Callithrix jacchus: one gene and its partner. The main gene of each other region encodes a partner of the protein of the gene in region 2 in a complex. Links are inferred from orthologs where the notes say so. Each region holds a gene or a part of one and is shown on either strand. Other genes may lie near its edges. The genes, in order: AP3B1 and AP3D1.

Region 1 (3,815 bases), on a different chromosome or scaffold from region 2:
GGTTAAAGAAAAGACTTTTTTCCCAACTTGTCTTTTTTCAGACTCTGATGAAGAAACACCTAAAATCTAAAACTCCAAATGCAATCTTTCTCATTACATGAAAATTTCTGTTCTTCAAAAATAGGCCTGAGTGTCATTAATATTTATACGATTTTGAAATCAATAAAAATAATGATATAAAACATATAATGGTAAATGATACTATGTATCATTTTTACTTCAATGACATAAAAATACATTACTTACTGTGCTTTTATCTTTCAGAAGTTTTTCAATTACTTCAATTAACATTTCCTTCTGCTCTGGATCAAGGCTAAAAAATATAAAAAGAACTTATATTAATTTTTTCCCTTTAATTCTAGCTTTAAATGATGCTCACCATTTCAAGGATGTTTAGAAATTTTTAAAGTGGGAAAAAAGAGCAAGAAATTAAAAGTCAGAAATAAAGAAAAAACAAATTTAATGTAAAATGGGATGGTTTTTCTCATGAATATGCCCTAATCTTTCCCTCTAATACTGCTTATATTAACTAAGCCAGATAGCAACGGTTTAGTTAAGAAAGTACTGAAAGAACAAGTTCACTTCTAAAAGAGTTGGAAAGTAGATAAACCACAAACTCTTTTTTCAACTGGGAGAAAAAAAATAACAAGCCGGCCATCATTAGTTTACTAGGAATATATACTTGCCAAAAACAAATATGGAGAATTTCCAAATAAGAATTTTATATCATACTAATTCTCTGATAGAGACATGCATTATAAAATCTGCCAACTAAAACTATGAAAAATAAGTAACGAGATCAAAACATTTGATATAGAATACTAACAGATTATAAATTCAAGGCAAGAAGAGGCAAACATTGGGGCCTGAACATACTGGAGCCCAGTGATAGAAGGACTTTTAAACCATTACAGTGAGCGTGGATCTTATCCCATAAGTTTAAGGGGAAAAGGTGAGTGAGAAGCATGATAAAACTTTGGCGGTTAACGTAGGAATATGAGATTTCACATTTTACAAACATATGCATTTATTATTAAACATTATAATTATCTGGACAAACTTTAATTATTTCAAATTTTAGCTTAAGTCTTCCTTCTCAAAACAGTATCCCACTACCAATCCCATCTCATTACATCTTTACTATCTGTTAGCACAGTATGATAAGCTTTGGTCCCTGTCCCATCAAAGACATTGCTAGTGTGCCTTTGTATATACATATATATCAAGTGCTAATATCTTATTCAGTTATAGATTGCCTTTAATTATTTGGCATGTCTTTGATTTTCTTACTCAAATACGTGATATGCTATTCATAATTAAGTGCCACATCCCCTACTGTTCTCATACATCTAAATACACATAGCATAATATTGTGAATACAACACTAGAAACAGAGGACAGTCTCAAAAACCTTGAGGAATAAATCGTAGCCAAAAATAATACCAAATTGCTGTAGAAAATTCTACATGGGCAGTAAATTTTCCACAGAGATCAGGGCATTGTATAATACTGCATAACATTTCTAAAATATACAGACAGTATATAGCACTATATTTCAAAATCACTACACTTTTAAAAATTACTTAATAAAAAAGCTCTGGAAAATAATTAGACAAGGAAGGGAGCAGCAGGAACAAAGATGGAAGAAGGGAAAACAAAATAGTGAGTTGAGAGGATCATACACTTAAGAGTCTACCCTAAATAGAAAAAAAAAAATCTCAACTTTCTAATAATACTAGCATATATGTGTACATGAGATAGACTATATAAATGAGAATTCAAATTCTGATTATTTTTATGTTATAAAATCTATAAATTATCACAGGCTCTAACAACCTCACAAATAAAACCTGCATGGGGTCTCTATAACCAAAACAAAATTAAAGATGTGCAAGGAATGTTTGCAGGGGGGAGAATACCATCATAGAGTCATCGGATTTACTTAGTACAAGAACAGGCTAGTTAAAAGAGCTAATAAAATAAGCCTCTGTGGTCTATAATATTCCATGTAACATTAGAGATCTTTGGTATATTGTTAACAATGTACCTACCTGTATAATTTTTGTATTGCATGGGCTGCATTCTTCCTAACATATGGTGATAAGTCAGCAGAAGCTTCCTTAATAGCAAGCATCATGATAGGTACAATAATTGGCACTCTAATACTTGAAAGAACTCTCAAAGCACTTGCACGAATTAGTTGGTTTGGGTCCTAAAAATAGTGCAAAAATATTCACCAGAATTTCAACTATACAGTATTTCAAAGGCATCTTTAAGGCACAGTTAATAGGTGCTTAAAGGGTGTAATATAACAATAGCAAAAGAAAGCTACTTAATTAAAAATGAACAACCAGTATATGAAAATGAGGAAAGACAGAAATAAATAAATGCTTATTTCTTTAAGAATGTTTTAAAGAAAATAAATAGTTATAATTCTAGTTGGTGATTTATTACTAAATATGCTGGGTTTTTATGGTTTCATAATAATAAAATGCTGCAGGTCATCAATTTCATGTTTAAAAATGTCTTATAACCCCCTTTGCACACGTTCAACAACTAGTATAATGATAAACAGCTCTTTGAAGCATAAAAATAATTATATTGAATATAAACAAACATACAGAAGCTGCAACATATACAGCAAGGTTTCAGTTGGTTATATAAACTATTTTCTAAGCATATTGAGTAGGCACTATAGGAGGCTTTTTAACTCTTTCAAGACACTACTGGGCTATTTAGTGGATTACTACTCCACTTCTTTAAATGACACACTTCCAACTCTGCAGAAACCTTGTAGCTATTTGCCTACTCACTCCATTATTTACCTTCAGAGCTCGCTGAAAAGTGCTTATGGACAGGAGTGCAAGATCCTGCTGTTCTTCAGCATATCGAACCAGGTAAACATATACCAACTTCTTGATCTGTTAAAAAAAAATCATTTATTCCTAGCCACAGTGAAAATTTAACACTCAATATTTGCTATACCAAAATCCATGCTCAATTTTTCTCAAGTAAACAACTAAATCTGGTCACATCTTAGATTGCAAAATAAAAATAATATTTTGTGGGATAATAAGTAGCAATAGAAAAAGCTTTTAAAGTAAGCATTTTAATAGTCCTATACACAATAGCAATAGCCTGTCAAAGTGTCCCTTCCTCTTGAAGGGAATTAAAAAAATCCCTGAACAGATATCATGTAAGAATATTAACTACATTGTAAAAATATTTTCAAAATGAAGGATAAAAATAAAATAAAGAAGCCAGGCTTGGTGTGCATGCTTGTAGTCCCAGCTACGCAGAAGGCTGAGGCAGGAGGATCACTTGAGACCAGGAGTCAGAGGCCATCGGGGGCAACATAATAAGACCCTATCTTTTAAAAAAATAATAATAAGAGAAGGAATTTGGGTTCAGGCCACTAACTATATGTTATGGGAACTTGTTTTCTCATCTGTCAAAAGAGTCCAGAGCTCCAACTCTGATTTTTATGGTAATACTCACATTTCAACATGTATTACATGGTATTTTCAGTCCAGTAAGAATAATGTGTGGCTATTAATACCAATTTAACATAAAAAAAATTCAAAAAGATTGAATGTATGGTCTGCAAATGGTTTTTCGTTTTTCTGATTTTTTTTTCTGAGACACGGTCTTGCTTTGTCACACCGGCTGCAGTGCAATAGCACAATCAGGGCTCACTGCAGCCTCAACCTCCTGGGCTCATGTCATCTTCCAACCTCAGCCTCTCCAGTAGCTGGAATTACAGGCATGCACCACCACACCCAGATGTTTTCTTAATATTCTGTAAAGACTGGGTC
Region 2 (3,915 bases):
GGTTGCGGTAAGCTGAGATCACACCACTGACTCTAGCCTGGGCAACAAGAGCAAAACTCTGTCTCAGAAAAACAAAAAAAGGGCCAGGCACAGTGGCTCACACCCATAATCCCAGCACATTGGGAGGCCAAGGTGGGCGGAGGATCGCAAGGTCAGGAGATTGAGTCCATCCTGGCTAACACGGTGAAACCCCATCGCTACTAAAAATACAGAAAATTAGCCAGGTGTTTTGGTGAGTGCCTGTAGTCCCAGCAATCGGAAGGCTGAGGCAGGAGAATCACTTGAACCTGGGAGGCGCAGGATGCTGCGAGCCGAGATGGCACCGCTGCCCTCCAGCCTGGGCGATAGAAGGAGACTCCGGCTCAAAAAAAGACTTTCCAACAGCAACACTCCCTCGAACGTGACCATGCTTGCGGGGAAAGCGCTATCAACTCACACCAATTCCAAAGGAAGAATCCCAGGCTCAGAAACTACCCAGAAGACAGGCACACCTCCCTGAAAACCACGCCCCTGACTAAAGGTGTGGTCGTCCACTGGGCAGACCCCCTGGCCTATCCTCAGGATCCCAGAACAGGCTGCTCAGTGGCATGTGCTGAAGGGGGGCAGGGAGGGCGCTGGGAGATTCTGTCCACGCAGAAAAGGTCCTCTCAGGAAGCAAGTCACATTTCCAATCTGGTGAACCAAGCTCAGCACAGTAAAACCCAGGCCCATCAGCGACGATGCTTTCAAGGTTCCATTTGGGGAGGCGGGGAAAGTGCTGTCTCAAAGCCAGCACAGGGAAACAGCTTCGAGCTGGACTTCCGTCTCTGTTGGGTGAGCATCACAAAGAATGTGAACATTATCCAGTTAGTTACACACTGAGACCAAAGCAGTTAGGGAGTGCTTCTGAGATGACAATCCAGGAGGCCGAAGAGACGCAATGGGGGTGGAGAACAAAAAAGACCTCATTAAGGCGGGGGCAGGCGAAGCCACGCCATTTGCCACCTGCGTAAAGGTGTAAGGGTTAGGGTTAGGGTCAGGGCAAGAGCTCAGGTTCCCAGGGAGAGGGGCGTGGGCTGAGGGACTCGGTGCCTGCAAGCAAATCTCTCAATGGCCCTGCCTTCCTGGCACCTCGTGCCCCACACGGCGTCTGGTAGTGGGGCCGGTGCTGTACCCGCCTCGCTGCCCAAGCAGGGAAGGAGGCAGGCAGTCGCTTCGGTGGGAGACGTTCTAAAGCTTCCACTGCCCAGGGGCTGCTCGGGCCCCCGTCAATGAAGCCACGTGGCCACTATGCCCGTTCTTCTTCGATCTAGGTCACAGGTTGGGGGAAGGGAGGGGCGGGAAGGAAACGATGCCCCCGTAGCTCTAATCTGACTTCTGGAAAAGGGGTTTCCTCGCCCTGGCTTTCAGGTTCCTGCTTGAAGTCAGCTTCCCCATTCCAGGCTCCCCCAGGCTGCCACCTCCCTGGGGCTTGGGGTGCAGGGTCCCTCCTCCCTCCCAGCAGCGGCCCCGCCTTCCCCGAAGCAGGGGCCCAGGAGGAACGGCCCCAGGACCACCGCCGCCGCCCCCCGCCCCGGGTGACTCCCAGCCAGGCCCCAGGGAGAGACCTCGACGTGCATTTACAGCACCCGGGAGGAAGGAGTTTCTCCAGGGGCGGCCCAGGACCCCCGGCCTCGGTCTCCCAGGGAGGGTCCGGGGGCGGGGCCCGGGACCCCGCACTTTTAATCGGTGATTCCGAAACACGCTCGGGCTGGAAAATGTCTGCCCAGGCACCTGGCCGGTCTCCTGGGAGGGGTCGCTGGAGCCCAGGGGGAGGCGGGCCCGCAAGTCCCTCGGAGGGAGTGAAATGAGGGTCCCGGGGGAAGGGCGCCCCTCGGCGGGGCCCGAAGCGTCACATTCCGGCAGCGCTTCCCCATCGGGCATCCGCCGAGACCAGGACCTTCGCCCCCTCGGGGATAAACTGAGGCCGGGGGTCCGAGGAGGTGGGCGGCGCTCCAGGCCCGGGGCAGGAAGGGCCGGAGCCCAGAGCGGGGCCTCGAACTAGGAGCCCGGGCGGGCTGCAGACCGAGCAGGCCCGGGGAGCGGGAGCGGGGCCGGGGCCGGGCCGGGCCGAGCCAACCCTTGGCGCGCCGGGCTCACCTCGTCCTCCTTGTGGTTGCGGATGCCGCGGACCAAGTCCTGCAGGTTCTTGTCGAACATGCGGTCGATGCTGCCCTTCACCATCTTGAGGGCCATCGCGGCGGCCCACGGGCTTGTGCCCCGGGAGGCCCGCGGTTGGGCGCCGTGAGGGGGCCCGGGGCCCGCGCCTGCCGCCCGCGGAGCGCTGCGCAGCCGGCCGCTGCGGCGGGGCAGGCTCCCAGGCCAGGGCGGCGGCGGGGTCCGAGGACCGCGGCAGAGGCGGCGACCCGCTCAGCAGGTGCCGTGATCCCGCTCCGGGCCACTTGCAAATGGCGGACAAGATGGCGGCAGGTCACCTGACGACAAGCGCCCGGTCCTAGCCGAGTCGGCCCCGGAAGCCCCGCCTCCCTGGAAGCCCCGCCCCGCCCCCGCCAAGGCGGGGGAGACGCTGCGTTTCCCTGACGACGACAGGTGGCCCAATGGAAATGTGGCAACACCGGCTCCGGCGTGCGTCCCCGCCTCTTCCGGCCCACAGATCTGAGCTCTCATTGGTCAGTGGCCTCCGAAACTCCACCTTCTTCCTCGTTGTCCCTTCTAGCCACGCCCCTTAAAGCCCGGTCCTGACCCTCCCATCAGCTGACAGGTATGGGCGGGGCGCACACGTGGAGCTTGGCCGGCAAGTTCCCGGGGAAGACTCGAGCTCCGCCTTTCCTGAATGTAAAAGCTGACGCGGCCTGAGAGCCTCCAAACCCAACGACTGGGTGGGGCGGGGTGGGGGGGAACGGATCCTGTGGTTCTCGCAGCCTCACAACGTCTTGTGAAATGAGCAGGGCAGGGATTAACGTGCCCACAGAAAGAAAATGAGGCCAAGGACGGTACTTCGACACTGTCATTCATTCATTAAACGTTTATGGAGGGCCCATTGTGTGCCAATCATGCAACAGTAAATGGGGGTACTGAGTCCTCGCCCTCCAAGATACATCATTAAGATTATGAAAAAATGTTCGAGGCCGGGAGCGGTGGCGTGAGCCGCCTGTAATCCCAGCACTTTGGGAGGCCAAGGTGGGTGGATCACGAGGTCATGAGATCGAGACCATCCCTGTCAACATGGTGAAACCCTGTCTCTACTAAAAATACAAAAATTAGCCGGGCATGGTGGCGCGTGCATGTAATCCCAGCTACTCAGGAGGCTGAGGCAGGAGAATTGCCGGAACCCAGGAGGCGGAGGTTGTGGTGAGCCAATATCACATCATTGCACTCCAGCTTGGGTAATAGAGCGAGATTCTGTCTCAAAAACAAAAAAAAAATCAGTCGGGTATGGTGGTGGGTGCCTATAATGCCAGCTACTGGGGAAGCTGAGGCAGAAGAATCGCTTGAACCCAGGAATGGAGGTTGCAGTGAGCCGAGATTGCCCCATTGAACTCCAGCTTGGGCAACAGAGCAAGATTCTTTCTCAAACAAACAAAAAAAAAGGGATTGTTGAGCATGGCGGCTCCATACCTTTGGTGAATGTATTCATGCATTTTTTTTTTGAGACGGAGTTTCGCTCTCGTTACCCAGGCTGGAGTGCAATGGTGCAATCTCGGCTCACCTCAACCTCCGCCTCCTGGGTTCAGGCAATTCTCCCACCTCAGCCTCTCAAGTAGCTGGAATTACACGCACGCACCACCGTGCCCAGCTAATTTTTTGTATTTTTAGTAGAGATGGGGTTTCACCTTGTTGACCAGGAGGGTCTCAATCTCTTGACCTCGTGATCCACCCGCCTCGGCCTCCCAAAGTGCTGGGATTACAGGTGTGAGGCACCACGCCCAGCCCCAT

Evidence for each region.
Region 1: the proteins of AP3D1 (region 2) and AP3B1 are in contact, whole or in part, in a cryo-EM structure (PDB 9C5C), measured with the Homo sapiens proteins. The link is inferred for Callithrix jacchus from reciprocal best matches to the Homo sapiens genes AP3D1 and AP3B1. Residues at the interface, in NP_003929.4 of Homo sapiens: Lys352, Leu442, Ile446, Ser471, Tyr483, Trp487, Glu491, His517, Ala520, Val521, Gln524, Asn525, Lys528, Val561, Gln562, Ser563, Ala564, Leu566, Glu567, Gln569, Glu570, Arg571, Ser573, Cys574, Gln577, Leu578, His581, Ile582, Leu585, Lys588; in NP_003655.3 of Homo sapiens: Asn75, Lys466, Lys467, Gln470, Val494, Ala497, Ser498, Trp501, Leu531, Leu534, Gln535, Asn538, Lys542, Asn567, Tyr568, Asp569, Asp572, Arg573, Arg575, Phe576, Ile577, Gln579, Leu580, Lys586, Gly588, Ala589, Leu590, Ser591, Tyr593, Lys596.

What each region holds. Positions count from the first base shown.
Region 1 is NC_133503.1:132,830,819-132,834,633, reverse strand, and holds part of AP3B1 (AP-3 complex subunit beta-1), read right to left. Parts: intron 2,922-3,815; coding exon 2,826-2,921; intron 2,213-2,825; coding exon 2,052-2,212; intron 314-2,051; coding exon 247-313; intron 1-246. UniProt on the Homo sapiens protein: Subunit of non-clathrin- and clathrin-associated adaptor protein complex 3 (AP-3) that plays a role in protein sorting in the late-Golgi/trans-Golgi network (TGN) and/or endosomes.
Region 2 is NC_133523.1:2,028,408-2,032,322, forward strand, and holds the start of AP3D1 (AP-3 complex subunit delta-1), read right to left. Parts: upstream 2,432-3,915; 5' UTR 2,215-2,431; coding exon 2,119-2,214; intron 1-2,118. UniProt on the Homo sapiens protein: Part of the AP-3 complex, an adaptor-related complex which is not clathrin-associated. The complex is associated with the Golgi region as well as more peripheral structures.